Daphnia pulex: one gene and its partner. The protein of the gene in region 1 binds, or shares a complex with, the protein of each later gene. Links are inferred from orthologs where the notes say so. Each region holds a gene or a part of one and is shown in the gene's direction. Other genes may lie near its edges.

The links.
Region 2: the proteins of protein lin-9 homolog (region 1) and protein lin-37 homolog are in contact, whole or in part, in a crystal structure (PDB 7N40), measured with the Homo sapiens proteins. The link is inferred for Daphnia pulex from reciprocal best matches to the Homo sapiens genes LIN9 and LIN37. Residues at the interface, in NP_001353174.1 of Homo sapiens: Lys99, Ala101, Ser102, Gln103, Lys104, Ile105, Gly106, Arg108, Leu109, Arg110, Leu112, Leu113, Lys114, His119, Trp121, Cys122, Ile123, Glu125, Trp126, Phe127, Thr227, Leu237, Phe238, Leu272, Ser273, Asn274; in NP_061977.1 of Homo sapiens: Tyr95, Ile97, Leu99, Phe100, Asp101, Arg102, Val104, Leu106, Ala107, Phe109, Ser110, Glu111, Asn112, Thr113, Pro114, Leu115, Tyr116, Ile118, Cys119, Arg120, Trp122, Met123, Asn125.

Annotation. Positions count from the first base shown.
Region 1 is NC_060023.1:5,468,762-5,476,501, forward strand, and holds protein lin-9 homolog, read left to right. Parts: upstream 1-3,267; 5' UTR 3,268-3,318; coding exon 3,319-3,337; intron 3,338-3,655; coding exon 3,656-3,873; intron 3,874-3,944; coding exon 3,945-4,116; intron 4,117-4,172; coding exon 4,173-4,309; intron 4,310-4,367; coding exon 4,368-4,579; intron 4,580-4,734; coding exon 4,735-4,870; intron 4,871-4,955; coding exon 4,956-5,126; intron 5,127-5,461; coding exon 5,462-5,575; intron 5,576-5,639; coding exon 5,640-5,987; intron 5,988-6,046; coding exon 6,047-6,253; intron 6,254-6,318; coding exon 6,319-6,510; intron 6,511-6,697; coding exon 6,698-6,952; 3' UTR 6,953-6,996; downstream 6,997-7,740. Other genes in the region: vacuolar protein sorting-associated protein 33A-like, read right to left, coding at 622-688, 750-876, 949-1,243, 1,311-1,415, 1,479-1,566, 1,628-1,737. UniProt on the Homo sapiens protein: Acts as a tumor suppressor. Inhibits DNA synthesis. Its ability to inhibit oncogenic transformation is mediated through its association with RB1. Plays a role in the expression of genes required for the G1/S transition.
Region 2 is NC_060021.1:10,748,667-10,755,496, forward strand, and holds protein lin-37 homolog, read left to right. Parts: upstream 1-3,893; 5' UTR 3,894-4,002; coding exon 4,003-4,027; intron 4,028-4,098; coding exon 4,099-4,231; intron 4,232-4,305; coding exon 4,306-4,530; intron 4,531-4,587; coding exon 4,588-4,798; intron 4,799-4,869; coding exon 4,870-4,911; intron 4,912-4,976; coding exon 4,977-5,090; 3' UTR 5,091-5,199; downstream 5,200-6,830. Other genes in the region: sphingosine-1-phosphate lyase-like, read right to left, coding at 863-988, 1,050-1,170, 1,233-1,379, 1,446-1,548, 1,615-1,750, 1,817-2,026, 2,095-2,185, 2,241-2,386 and 4 more; phosphatidylinositol 3,4,5-trisphosphate 3-phosphatase and dual-specificity protein phosphatase PTEN-like, read right to left, coding at 6,204-6,346, 6,521-6,680, 6,804-6,830.

The DNA of each region.
Region 1 (7,740 bases):
AAAGCTTTTGCTTATATTTTCAAAACAATTAAAATGTAGGAATTTCGTAAGATTTTGTTTATTGTAATTTCCTGGATTTTTTTTCTTTATCATTTACGAAATAAATTTATTATTATTTTATCATTTATCATTTTACGAAATTCTTGAGTTAAACTCAGACAGTGGCCCAATTTCTCCATCACAAGGGCTGAGGTAAAAAGGCAACAGTTCAGGTTACAAGATCGAAGCCATATTTTAGGAAAAAAGTTTGAGGCAAGGCAACAATTCAGGGAAACAGATGGAGGCAACAATTCGAGAAAAAAGATGGAGGCAATTAGCTGCAGTCGATGTTTAAGGACGTCAAGTAATTAAGATCTTCAGACAATCAGTAAAAAAGGATTTGTTTACTGATTGTCTTTAAGCCACTCCCTCAGCTCCCTTTCATCAGGTATATCCGGGTTGATCTAAAGAGAATACACAAGAAAAAAAAATCCCGATGAAAAAAACTGCTGGAGAAATATTATTGAGTTTAAACTAACCATGATTACCGAATCATCGAAGGAGTCTAGGAATATTTCTCCACTATCGCGTGCGAATGCAGAAACCTTAACACCTCCAAATGCAACAATGGCGTTATCCAGGCTACTGAGCTGAAATAGCTTTAGCTTTGCGACTGAGTGCAGTACCCACGGCTGAAAAGTTCTTGTCCCTGCGAAAATAAATAACTTTAAAACTGTCGGAAGCAAAATTTGTCTGATTAAAAATTTCACCTCAAATCAGCGTAAAGCTCTTCGGCCGAGTTTAGAACAACAGATTTAACAGAGCTACCATCAGAGCGAGGTGACTGGCCCGCATTTGATGAGGCTTGAAAATTTTCTCCTGGAAGCTTGACTGTATCTAAATAACAATGAAACCACAAAATGCAAGTAAAATAATTGTTTTACTCAGAAGCTAACAATACTTTCTTACTATGTTTTATTCCATGGAATTCGTCGATAAGACCCTCATAGGTCAACTGAGTGACAACAGGAGTTATCAAATCTACAGTCCTATCAATGATCATGAGAGTGTCGAACAACGGAGACATGGGGGGATCACAGTCTACCCCAATATCACGTCGCATTCGAGTCATCAATTCGAATACGTTACGGGCATGGCGCCCCTTACCCACAACGTTGGGGAAAATGCCATATAAACTTTGGAGGGACATTAACCCATGAGCAATTTGGTGTAAGGAGATGATTTCATTGTCAACATATAAATCCTGAGAATAAATTTGAAGAAATTGATGACAAGCAATCCCTTTCAAAGTTTGGCTCATAAATAAATACCTTGAAAACATTATCGAGTTCCATTGAAATGACATCACTATCTAGTGGGAAAAAATCAGCAGGCAGTTCATCAATAGAAGTAAGAGTTCCATACACTCCTTTGTCCTAAATGAAGTAATAATTTTGTCAACAATTTCTTCTTCGCTGATTTAAGTAACTTTAACCAACCTTGAGCCGCTGTTCACATACTGCACTTCGTCGGGAGACAAAAATTAACTGATATTCCTTACTAGCAGAATGTCCTTGGCTTTCTTCGCTGAAATGTAAATTAACTTATTGTTGACTATTTAAAGTTAAAACATGTAGATTATTCATACCTGTGCAAGTTATCGGCAATACAATCCATCAGCTCAACTTCAGGTCTTGTGATGAACAGCATATTTTTAACAGATATGGAAGGCAAGCGCCCAGGTTTTAACTGAAACATTTTTACAACATCTAGTTCCTTAAGAAAACTGTATTCTGCCACCAAACCAATGGGGCCAGTGAGTTGTTCATCCCAAAATATTGCCTAGCATAATTGATGAATTTACGTACATTTCTTAAATGGAATAGCACACACCAAAATACCTTTGTTCCACTGAACTTCTCTAAAAGAGAAACAATATCCTGTAACAATAACAAAACTGTTGACGAAATTTATTTTTACTGAACAAGACATCAACAGACTGTCAACAGACAACCTAATGGATTTTGTGGTTGTCCTAAGTCACAAAAAGCTAATGACTAAATCCGCATAAAATAAAATAAAATTTAGTATTACCAATGCTCATCTTCTCCTGTCCTTAACTTTCTTTCTGAAACAGACACGTGCACATCCAAATTTAGGTGAGGACGATACATATTCATGTCTAACTTCTAATCATTAGCCTAACAGTCAAAATAAAATTTATCGTGAGGCATTACAATTATGGTAAATTATTTCAGTGCTTACCATACATGATGACTACTCATCATATGGTATTTATATCAGTGAGTGACTCACAGAAATGGTTTAGTGCACTATGAAAATCAAGAAACCCATTTTATGGTCATTTTCCTGGGCGTCACAACAAAATCAATGAGTGACTCACAGAAATGGTTTAATACACTACCATGAAAATCAAGCAAACCCATTTTATGGTCATTTTCCTGGGCGTCACAACAAAATTAGTTAGGCAAACAAAATACGTAAGAAAACTCAAAATAATAAATGATATTGCGTTGATTTACCCTTCATGAAGCATTTAGCTATGCGAAACAATTACAATGACAATGATGAATAAGGTAATCCATAGTATAGTCTTTTGCCTAAGAATTGAAACAGGAATGTTGAAATTATGCGTTACTTTAATAATTACAAATTGCAAGCTAACCATGTCAACATGATGACGACGTTCGGTAACTGACTAACTGATAAATCAGACAACAAAAACAAAACAAACAGACAATCGAATTGATGTTGTGGTTGTCCTAAGTCACAAAAAGCTAATGACTAAATCCGCATAAAATTAAATTAAATTTAGTATTACCAAATGAATCGAAACTTACCTATCCGCTGAGATAAATTACTGTAAGTTTACACAAACAGTTTGAAGAAAATCGATGCAGTAGTTTAGATTTCTATAAATTTATTCTGATTCTGAATTAAAGGTTCTGGAAGCCTGGCCCAGAACAGCGTACACTCCCCCCACATCCCTCCCCCTCCTACACACCCAGACACCCGCATTTACTTTAATGCCTTCTGGTAGTACAAGTACTACCCTCAGGGATAAAAATTTGCTGTGATTCGAGAGTGTTAATAGCTATGAGGTATCCAATAACAAATGCAAGCTACAATTTAAAATAGTAATAAAATATTAGAAAAAGGATTTAGATTATTATAATTTAGAAGTAAAAAAATCACTAAATCAGCAAGAAAAATGTAATATTTTATTAATTTTTTTTTTTGGTTTACAATTCGTCAATGCGGCAACGTCCCAAGCTTGACGATTCGAGCGATTCTGAAAGTTGAAAAAACTGCTTGAAAATGGCGGATTTACTTGAAAGTAAGTTATCTTAACTGCAAAACGTAAACAAACAATTAAGCTTTGACGGTTAATTATGTTTTTTCTTTAAACTCAGTTTGAAAATCTTTTGTAGTTTTAATAATTTATTATAAATTTCTGTCTGATACGATTTGGGTTAAGCTCTAGAACGGCTCCTTACTTGTTTATATTGTTACCTCATATTTGCTTAAGTTTGTAATTTCTCATTCAACCAATTGTTATGAAAATTGAGCATTAATAGATTTTCCAAATCAATTGAAGTACATTGTGTTAAGAGTTTTACTTAACTTTAATATTTATATTTGAAATTCTGTATAGCTGAATCTGCAGAAGCTTTACTTTCATTCAAAAATGGAGGATTCAAAGTGAAAAGAGAGCTTGATTTTGGAGATGACTCAGAACAGGCGAATCAAGCAATGACTTTAGGCCCAGAAATGTTTGGATTAAAACGGATCAGTGATGTAAATTCATCCTCTAGTTCAAAAATAACTGGGAGTACCACTTCAAATCCAATCACATTGAACAGAAGAGGCATTGTAAGTGAGACTATTTGGACTTTATTTGATTATATGATGTAATAAATTGTGGAAACTAATTTTTATTTTAGCCAGCAAGAATTCGAAAAAAGAATCCATTGTTCTTTGATGATGATACTATTGTCAACCAATCTACTAATAAATCTCCAAGGAAATCCACAAAATCCAACAGTGGTGTTAGTGGATCATCTCATTCAAACCAGTTAGCACCTCAAGTTACCACTTCAAAAATAATAAAGAGAGGTTAAATAAATTATTTTAAAAAATGTAATCATGATTAACAGTAAATTGTGTTACAGGCCACACAAGATCTGCACCTGGCAGTGCAACTGGTACTCCGGAACGTCGCAGTGGATCAAATGCTTCGACGCCGCTCAAAACTACTAATCGAGTTAAGGCAAAGCTAAAGAAAATGAAGGTTAAGCCAGCTTTTAAGGTAAAATTTTTATATATTAAATATTGCCAATAATTGTATACTATATCATTTGTATTAGTTGCCGGAAAAGCAGAAGAGTGAACCTTTAGTTGTTGGACGTCGTGCTCGGAGTATTGTGGCCGCGGCCGCTTTACCTTCGGTTGCAGCAACAACGGCTGAGCAAGAAGCCGAAGACTTGAAAAAACTTGGTGTCCGCTTACGCAATTTACTTAAGTTACCCAAAGCGCACAAATGGGTCTGCTATGAATGGTTCTACAGTAATCTAGACCAGTACGTTTTTGTGCCATTTATTTTATACCTTGCATGGGGAAAAAGAAATGGTTGTAGTTGTGTGTTTCGTCGATTTCCTTATAATTTGTGAAGCACTCCATTTTGCTGTAACCGTTTTTTTTTTTTAATTATTATTATTTATTTATTTATTTTAGAGCATTGTTTGAAGGCGACAATGACTTTATGCTATGTTTACGAGAGTCATTCCCCAGCTTGAAATTGCGACAGCTTACTAGATCCCAGTGGTGTACCATCCGTCGTCTTATGGGAAGACCAAGACGTTGTTCTCAGGTGCCTAAATTTTTATTCATGCAAATGGCTTGTCCAGTTTCTAACATTTTCTTATCCAATTTTTCCCCCTCTTGATTCATTTTAGGCATTTTTTAATGAAGAAAGAGGAGAATTGGCCAAAAAAAGACAGAAGATTCGTTTAGTTCAACAGCGCAAAGTAAGCGATATGGCATCTCTTTGTAGGGATTTGCCGGATCTTATCCCTATGCCTTTGGTTATCGGCACCAAAGTGACGGCCAGACTTCGGCAACCACAGGTACACTTAAGCACAATACTTCAGCTATTTACTTAAATTGTTATCGATTTTTCGTCAGTCGACGGCAATCTTGTGTGATCATACCAAGATGCCGTTGGTCTAATGAAATGCCGAAGTATTTTCGATTCCCTTAGTATATATGAGATGATTGCCGTAGTTATTCTAAGTGTTTTAAGATAACAGCGCAAGAGTTTGAAGTGGGTATACATAGCTCAATAAAAGAATATGTGGAGTGTGACGTTAAAACTATGACCTAGTGACTATAATTATTTATGATTTAAAAAGAAGGAAAAATAAATACGTAGTAATTATTTATTTTTTTCTTCCCATTAAAGGATGGATTGTTCGTTGGCCAAATCGATGCCGTAGATACGTCCAATAATACATACCGCATCACATTTGATAGACAAGGATTGGGAACACACTCTGTTCCGGATTACGAAGTTTTGGTACGTGTAATGTTCGTCTTGACAACGAAAGACATCTTCAACTAAAAACAAATTTCCTTGTTAGTCGAATGAAACAGTAGACATGATTTCGATATCGAGTTTGGCTCAACGGTTTCGCCCTCGCCCAGCTGTTTTACCACCGACCCCCGCAATAATACCACTGATGGCTTCACAGCAGCAAACACTAACAATCTCGAGTCAACATCAACAGCCCATTAAACAGTCTTCCCTTGAAGTTGCAATGCCTACTTTATCTTTAACTTCACATGTCAGTGGCACACGAATTGGACACACTTCTCATTCTGATTCTTCAAGTTTAGTCAGCGATCCTGTCTTGGGATCGTCTAATTCAAGATTGACACCACAAGAAACGACGTTTGGCTCCTTGCCCATCCACGTTCTGACACCAATCGTAAGTCCTTTGAAAATCTGCGTATTATTGGAAATTTGTAACATATATTTGTTCTATAGGTACGACTCTCGAAGATTTTAAATATGAAAAAAGATAAGGTTAGAAGACTGAGAGATATGAATACAGAAGTTGAACGCCGAGAGTCAGTCGGCGAAACTGTTGCACCCGATTTTCAACGACGCTATGCTCGTACCATCCTTGATTTGGAAGAATTGAATACGGAACTCAACAGCCTCCTAGTTAAGGTCAGACAACAATGCCATGAGGTATTTTGTTACTTTTCGATCTGAAATAGTCACATTAATAACTCTTTGGAATTTTTATCGTTTAGATTGCTCCGGATTCAGAGCATGGTCTATCCCCATTAGCTGGGCCAGATAGTATTCGCCAACTGTGTTATCAAGAAGCTAGAGATTTGGTTGAAACTCAGTTGGATACTCGAAGTGGTTCACATCCAAATGTTACCTCTGCCCCGATTATTGCACTTGTCACTGGTCTCACATCTTTAATGCTCCAAATCAAGGTATTTGTAATGTATTTATTCGCTCGTGGTTATTGTTACTGCGAGTTTTTATTTGCTAGATTTTTTACCGATATTTTTAGTTGATGATTTATAGTTAACTATATTGTAGTAAATTAAAATCGATAATCAGATTGTCGTTTATGTAAACTGCAACTCTTTACTTATTTCAATACTTTTTTTTTTTCAGTGCCTTGCGGAAAGTGAACGCAACGCTTACGAGCTTCAAGCTTTACACGACTCCTTAGATGAACTGCGGAAGTCCTTAGACAAATCGAATCTAACTTCTCTTAGGAACCATGTTTTAGTTCACGTGCAGCATATCCAATCTGGATTGTGTAACTTTGACCACATGACGCCGTTCAACGGTACCGAAACTAATGCACCTGCGGTCACCTCCACCACTAGGAACCTACCGTTACCCAATGATAACGATAACCATTAACTATTGTTGAAACAGAAATAAATTAACTCATGGCGTAGAAAAAATTTTGTTAGACATGTCTCTGAAACCTCTCGTTTAACAGTAAAAAAAATCTTCAATCAATTCAAATGTAAATAATGCGAATCAGATTGTCTAGTAAAATACCGAATGATTTTCAAATGTTCAGTGAAAGACATTTTTAAATTACAAAAGATACACACATAATAAAAATATTCATTTAACAAAATTTTTGATTCCCTTTATCATTAAACTCTTTAATGAATATAATACAGAAAAACGCATTGGGTTAAAACACAAATATAAATATAGCAAATATCTTTTTTTTTAGGAACCAGAAACGCCCTTTAAAAAAATCAAAGTTGGAGGAGAATTCATGCAATTTTAAGGGGTGTTCGACCGAACCGAGCTCGTTTGAGTTTATTCTTTAGTAGATTACTCCTTTATTTGCACTTTGATTGATGTAATTATGAAGGCATCTCCTAGGAATGCGAGGTTGCAGTAGGAATATGTAATAAGACATTAAATACAAGCAGGACAAGATGTTTTGTAACTATATTAGGATAGAATCCAATGAAAAATACTGAAATAATGAAAATTAGTCTAATACTATTATGGTGCGACCTTAGGTGTACCGGTGGGGGCTTCAGCCGCCACCCCACGTCGCACTTCGCTCTTAGCTTAAATTTTAGCATTTCCTCAATGAGTTTGAGAGATTAAAAAATGATGTCTCTTTGGTGTGGCTGCATCCCCCCCCCCCCCAGCAGCGTCTTAAATCAAGCACAAAGCTC
Region 2 (6,830 bases), on another chromosome or scaffold:
CCTCAGACACGCAAACATGAACTGTCCCTTGAACATGCTTGTGTTTCCAATCACCATCTTTTTGGTCGTGAGTATTTTTTTTCTCTTTTACCTGTTCCTTATTCCTATTTTGGTTTTAATGAATTGTTTATTTCGATTTAGGTTATTAGCGATACTCACGCAGCTTCTCTAAATACTGGAAAAGCATTTCAAAGTTATGTTCAAACTAACAATATTCCGATACAAGTTAATGAAGCGATTACTGAAAGAGCAAAACCACGAACTGTTGCCGACGCCATGCTTATTACAACAGAACCGATTCAAAAACCTCTTAAAGACCCACGTCTGTTTGTTCTATGGTGGTCTACTTTAACACAATCTATTCTGCAATTGTTACGACAACGTACTTCGACCACTACTTCAAATCCCAACCAAACTTTCATCGCTACTACTCCTTTTTCAGTTTTCCAAACGGATGACCCCACTCATAACGTAAATGACGTTGCAGCTGGACTAGATACGATAATTGTTGATGCACCACCTGTATTTGATTCAATGCCATTGGAATAGTAAATGGGAATAACTTGGAACTGCATTTAATATACTGTTTAACCAATCGCAATCCAGAATCTGATTAGAATATTTTTCATATGCAAGCACTGCAGTCGTTCATTGCAATTAACTTTTAGGGACTTACAAAAATAGTGTAAATAAGTCATGGGTAAAGTGACTAATGCTGACTATAAATCAGTACCCTAGGCTGTCTCAAAAGGATGGCTTTTTAAAAAGAATACTGGAATTAAGAAAATTAGAAAAAGGGAAGCAGTAACTAGATAAGGTGTTTGCAAATAGAAGAATTTGCAATTCAAAATACAAGTTTCTCCTACTTGGCGTGGCCGTTGGATACGACGTCACTTTTCAGGTTGTATATGGAATCCAAGAAAACGCTTGCAATTTCCGTCACCATTGAACGGTCAGGAATACTTTGTGCCATGCCATAGATAACAGCCTAACCAAGCAATAAATACAGTTATTGAAAAATATCAAAGAAATATTGAAGAGAAACTAACCGCGCCCTCAGCTTCAGCTTTTGGGGTCTTCATAATCTCATCCACAGTAGCGCGCATATCTTCAACGAAGCGCTCGGCGACTCCATCACGAGTGTGAAGGTAAGTCACTGTCAAATGAATGCTGAAAGGACGTAAATATTATTTAGATAGTTCGCATAACTTGCTCAATGATTGAAACATTACCTAGAAGGAAATTGGAGAGGAGAAAGACTCCAGCCTTTTTTGGTCATGGCATCTGATACACGGTAAATGTTGAAGTCGATTGAGTCCACGGCAACACAGCATGCTTCGGGATGTCCCATGACGCGGATGCCTTTAATCTGGCGCAAACTAAATAAAGAAAAACATAAAAAATGTTGAAGAAGAAGAATATACAGGTTATCAAATATTGCTTGCCCTCTTTCAATAAAGCGATGAGTTTCCACAATCTTTTTAGTAGCTTCTACATAACCGCTTCGACCATAGTACATCATAGACGCCCAGCAGGCAGCAATTAAGCCTTAACAAAATCAAATGGGCAATTAATATAAATTTAAATAAGATAAGTCCACAAGTGTAAATTTACCTCCTGGTCGAGAACCGGCTAAAGTTGGTGATGCGTAAATACCACCAGGCCATTCAGTAGCAACAAAGAATTGTTGCTGGCGATATTTCGGATGGGAGTACAAAATAACGGAAGTTCCCTTGGGCGCATAGCCATACTGTAAGTGTATCGCATACAAAAATTATAGTGGAAAATCAAATTGAAAGCAAGCACTGTATATTACCTTGTGCGTATCGGCCGAAATACTGGTGACTCCTTTTACTCTGAAGTCAAACGGCGGCAAGCTGTAGCCAGCTTCTTCCATAAACGCGATTACGAACCCTCCCAAACAGGCATCAACGTGCACAGGGATGTCATATTTAAGACCGAGTTGGGCAATCTTTTCGACTGGGTCAATCACTCCATGAGGAAAACCAGGTGCTGATGCCAAAAGCTGAAAACGAAACATGTAAAACATCAAAGTGGTGACCTGACAAATCCCAATAATATTCCAAAATATACCAAGCAAGTATTTTTATTGATGGCTTTTTCCATCGCTTTAATGTCTGCCTTCTGGGTTTTTGGATCTATTGGTATTCGAACAAGGCGCATCCTGGTCGTAGCAAGATTGGTATCAATATGTTAAAACACTTTAAAATAAATAAAACCTGTAAAGTTGGGAAGCTTTATCAAAAGCCGCGTGGCCAGTTGCAGGAATTAGGATTTCAGGATTTCTTATGCCTTTTACGTTTCGCGCATAGTCTCGGTATGCTTTTACGGCCAGTAAGAGCGATTCGGAACCTCCAGAAGTCATCTATATTATAAACGCATTGGATAGCGAAAGGTTAGACAGTTACATAATAGTTGAATATCGACATTTTTTATCTCACAGTGCCGCAAGCATCTTTCCCCCCGTTAAACATATGGATAGCCATTTGGACGATTTCAGCTTCCATTTTTCGAATTCCAGGGAATACTTCTGGATGAAGCGGGTTAGTCCAGGCAGACATTCCATAAACTTGCGTAACAAGAGTAGTAACTTCTGGATCAACATTGTAAACACATCCTGAAAGTCCTCCAGCTTTCCAGTCACAGTCCCCTATGGTTAAAAAAACAAACAAACAGCTTAATCCAATCTATTTTCATGCATTAAGATAAAATTATTTACCTAGGTCTAGATATTCACTAGCTTCTTTAGTAATCTCTTCAACTGATTTTCCATTACTAGGCAATTGATAATAGACACTAAGGGATTTTGTGCATTTATTCATGTCTTCTTCCATCATATGTTTAGCCTTAAGTCTTTCCTCTGCTACCTTTTTTTTCACAAAAGGAATCATACGAATCCATGAGAAAATATATCTCTTTGTTCTTTCAGCCACAGCTTCAATAAAAGAAAAAAATAAATTATTATTGCATGAGGCTCTTAATTCTTACATAGACTTGTGAAATATTTACACAATTCTGGATCTGTCAGAAAGTTCTGTAGTCGAGCAATGGAATATGCTGCTCCAGCCGATATCAAAATTATTTTAAAAGAAAACTTCTCATTTAAACGGTAGTCTATATATATTTTTATAAATCTAGCAACTTCTAATATGCTCGGCTGTAATTAAGAAAAATAATTAGAATACTTTATCTTGAATTTCTTCATGGGTAAATTTAGTTTCAATAAATTGACACAATGTATGTATCTTACCATAGACATGGTTATGAAAAATAACCAAGTTTCCTTTGTGGCTTCAAATGAGGAGCTGACTGATTTCCAAATGAGGAATATTTCAACCTTGGATCAGCAGCTCAGTGCATATACCACATTTACCCTATCAGTCAGGTAGAGTTTAGATAAAGTAAACAAGATAAAAAAACAAAAAAACACCAGCAATATCACAACATGTCAAGATTGATACCTCTTCTACACCCTTGGACTGCAAACAAACATCCAGACAGCAGACACATAGGATTGTTGCATAAGAAAGTAAAAATTAATAATAAAATATTAAGATTAATGAATGTTTAGAAATGTACACTGTATATAACTAAATAAATAAAATTGAATTTTAGGTGTTTACAAATACAAATGTGACATTTAACTAATTAACTTAGATAATTTGTTTATACTTCGTAAATTCAGAAAGATACGTCTCAAATTTGGTTTTCTGCATAATCATTTTATTTTGCGGTTTGAGTCATCATCACTCGGGCATATTTCATATTTGAATAGCGGATCAGCTCAAATTTACAGTTCCTCACGGCCGATCGAAATCCGCTTTATGAAGTCCGCAATTCGTCTGCTTCTTCCGATATCCTTGTTTTATTTTGTAAAATCTGACAACCATTAAAGAAGAGAAAGTGGCAATGCTGTGTTTGTTTGGAACTCGGTCGAATTTTTAATTTCTTTTGTGAAATTCTTTATTTTCAAATCTAGAAATGAGAAAGGATAAAGAGAAATATGGTATGCAACTTTAATGTTTACATGTTTTGCTGAATGGCATTTGTACATCACACGAATTGTTTATTTTATAGATCATGGGCATGAAGTTAGCACTGCCCGTGGACGATTGGAAGGAGCTCTGCAAATTTTGATCGAAAAAACTGAATCTGAAGATAGCGATGAATCTGACGTAGATGTAACTGATTTAATCCATGAAGGCAGAAGGTATTTACTGAATAGTTACATTAAGAATTTAAAAAATTATGTTTTTATTTATCAATTTGGCTATGATTGTATAGTCAATCAGCATCTCCTAGGAAATCAGGAACAATTAAAACTCCATTGAGAAAGAGAAGACGCTTAAATGTGGATAAACATTACAAAAATGACCAAAATTCCTATGTGCTTAAGCTTTATGATCGTAGTGTTGATCTTGCAAAATTTTCTCCTCAAACTCCCCTATATCCTGTTTGCCGTGCTTGGATAAAAAATCAACCAAACAACCAACAATTTGGAGCTGCAAAGTAATTTGACATTTAATTTCCAGCCTTAAAGAAATATTATATAGTGTTTGATTTCAGTGCAAATTCCCCTAAGAAACTGGAGGATAAAGGAGCTGAGGTTAAAGAGGATTTAAAACTTGAAGAAAATGGTGAAGCTTTTGTAAATAGCTTGCCATTACCTGAAGCGATGCCTCTGGATGAAGAAGGAAACATTGTAGATACTAGGATTCCCTTTGATCTGAAGCCCAGTGGAAAATCTAAATCACTAGATTTGCTGCTAAATGTGTGTGTAAGTGAATTTGGAACTTCAGTGTAGAATTTTTACTAACTGTTGACTTCGGAAAAACTCATGTAAAACAGGAAGATGAGGCGGCTCCATCAGTATCATCGCTATTGCAGGAGGTGGGTAGAAACATTTGGTCAAATGAATGCAGTTTAACTAATTTTTTCTCTTTTTCATTTAACAGCATTGTTCTCATTGGGGTCGAGTACGAGAGCAATGGAGACGGGCGGCTAATGTCAATGAAGTCCGTTATGTTGAAAGTACCAAGATTCTTAAGAATATTTTAGTTCGCCCTTAAATTTGATGTGATCATCATATTTTTGTACTACTTGACAAAAATTCAACAACCATCAGCGTTTGTTTTGTGGGACGTGTGCTTCAATATTATCTTAAAACAAAAACATTAACTTGCTTTTTAACTATTCAGTTATAGTATATTATTGTCCAGTCATACCGTTTCCAATCCGATACAAAACAAAAAAAAAAAGAAACAATCAAACAACCTAACAATCGAACAAACAAAAAAGAAACAAATGAGATATTTGAGACAAACACGCACATGGTTCTCGTCAGTTAAATGTAATCAAGAGAAATCTCTTAACAGTTTGTCACACGCCAGGTCACAAATAGGTCGATTCCCCTGTAAGATAAATAAGTGCTCAATTGATCTTTCATTTCTTGGCCAAAAAATAAAAAAAGGTAGGTAAGTTTAAAGATTGGAGTTCAAAGAGATTTCATGTATAAGAAACTGTAATTGAATGGAAAAGGGTGCGAATCTAACAAGAAAATGCAGTGACGACAGAGTACCAATGGAACTAATCAATAACGAAGTGTGGGGAAAATGTCGAACTTCGGACGCCAATTTTTGCATGGTGTCTCTTATATAAAGGGAGATCCAGGTCACATGTTTATTTCAACAATGAAAAAAGATTAAACAAGAACTGGGAGGATTTGTTGCGTAACACGAGAAAATTAATGAGGGATCAGAGATAATGTGAAGAGGAGCATGATGATATTGCTCTATACCCTTAGCCGATCCGATTTTGTAAAGGAAAAAGAAACTATTAAAATAACTAGAACCATAGAAACAAAGATGATACGCAAGGGAACAATAAACGTGACCTATAACCCGCAACAGCCATCGCTCACGTCCAACTGCATAATTGCAACGAACCGAGTACAAACTTTAAAATGCAAAATTTAGTTTTTTTTTTACGCATATTTCGGAAGTGCTGTTTTCTCTAAAGAAGCCGACATCGGGTAGAATCGCAAAACGTCAGCAGTAACTGATTGATTCTGTCTGGAGAAGGGGACAAAAAAAAGGCGTAAAAGGCAGGAGAGTAATACAGAAGTGTGCCAACAAAGAGATAGAAGACGGAGAAAAAAGGGAACCAAATCAGCATGCTGCTATTCAGGTGGAAGGCCAACCTTTCAGCGTAAGGTCAACAGACGATGGACTCAGACGAACTATTTCTTGAGTACCCCCAGAGGTGCAAGCCGAAAAGGAGAGTAACCGATAGCGACCAACAGGATCCGAAGAGGTGCAAGTATCATCTACCCAAGAACATACATAGAAACGCTTCAGATAAGGAAGAAAAGAGGAAAAGATGTAGACAATTTGGGGGGGAAAGAATCGAGTGATGAAAAGAGAAGATAATAATTTAAAGAGGTACGAGAGTTGCTTGTTCATCACCGTGGATTCTAACAATCAATCCAGAGATTACGAACCTTGCTCGCCTTCTTCTTGCTCCTGGTTCGGTGGCTTCTGGAATTGGTTTCGCTCTGACCCTTCTACGTCTGAACTATCATTTTCGGAACTCCAAGTCTGGCTAGAGTCCGAATGGCGAGGTAATTGGTCATGTCCTCCAACCCCTTCAGTATTATTGATCTGAAATGAAAAGGTCATCACAATTTTAGTTTGTTTTGATATAAAATTATACTGTGATTATAAATAATGGTAGTTAACATATTGTTTTTAGATCGGATTTGAAATTAGAAGTAAAATTGTTACCTCTACGTTAGTCTTCGTTGTCGGATT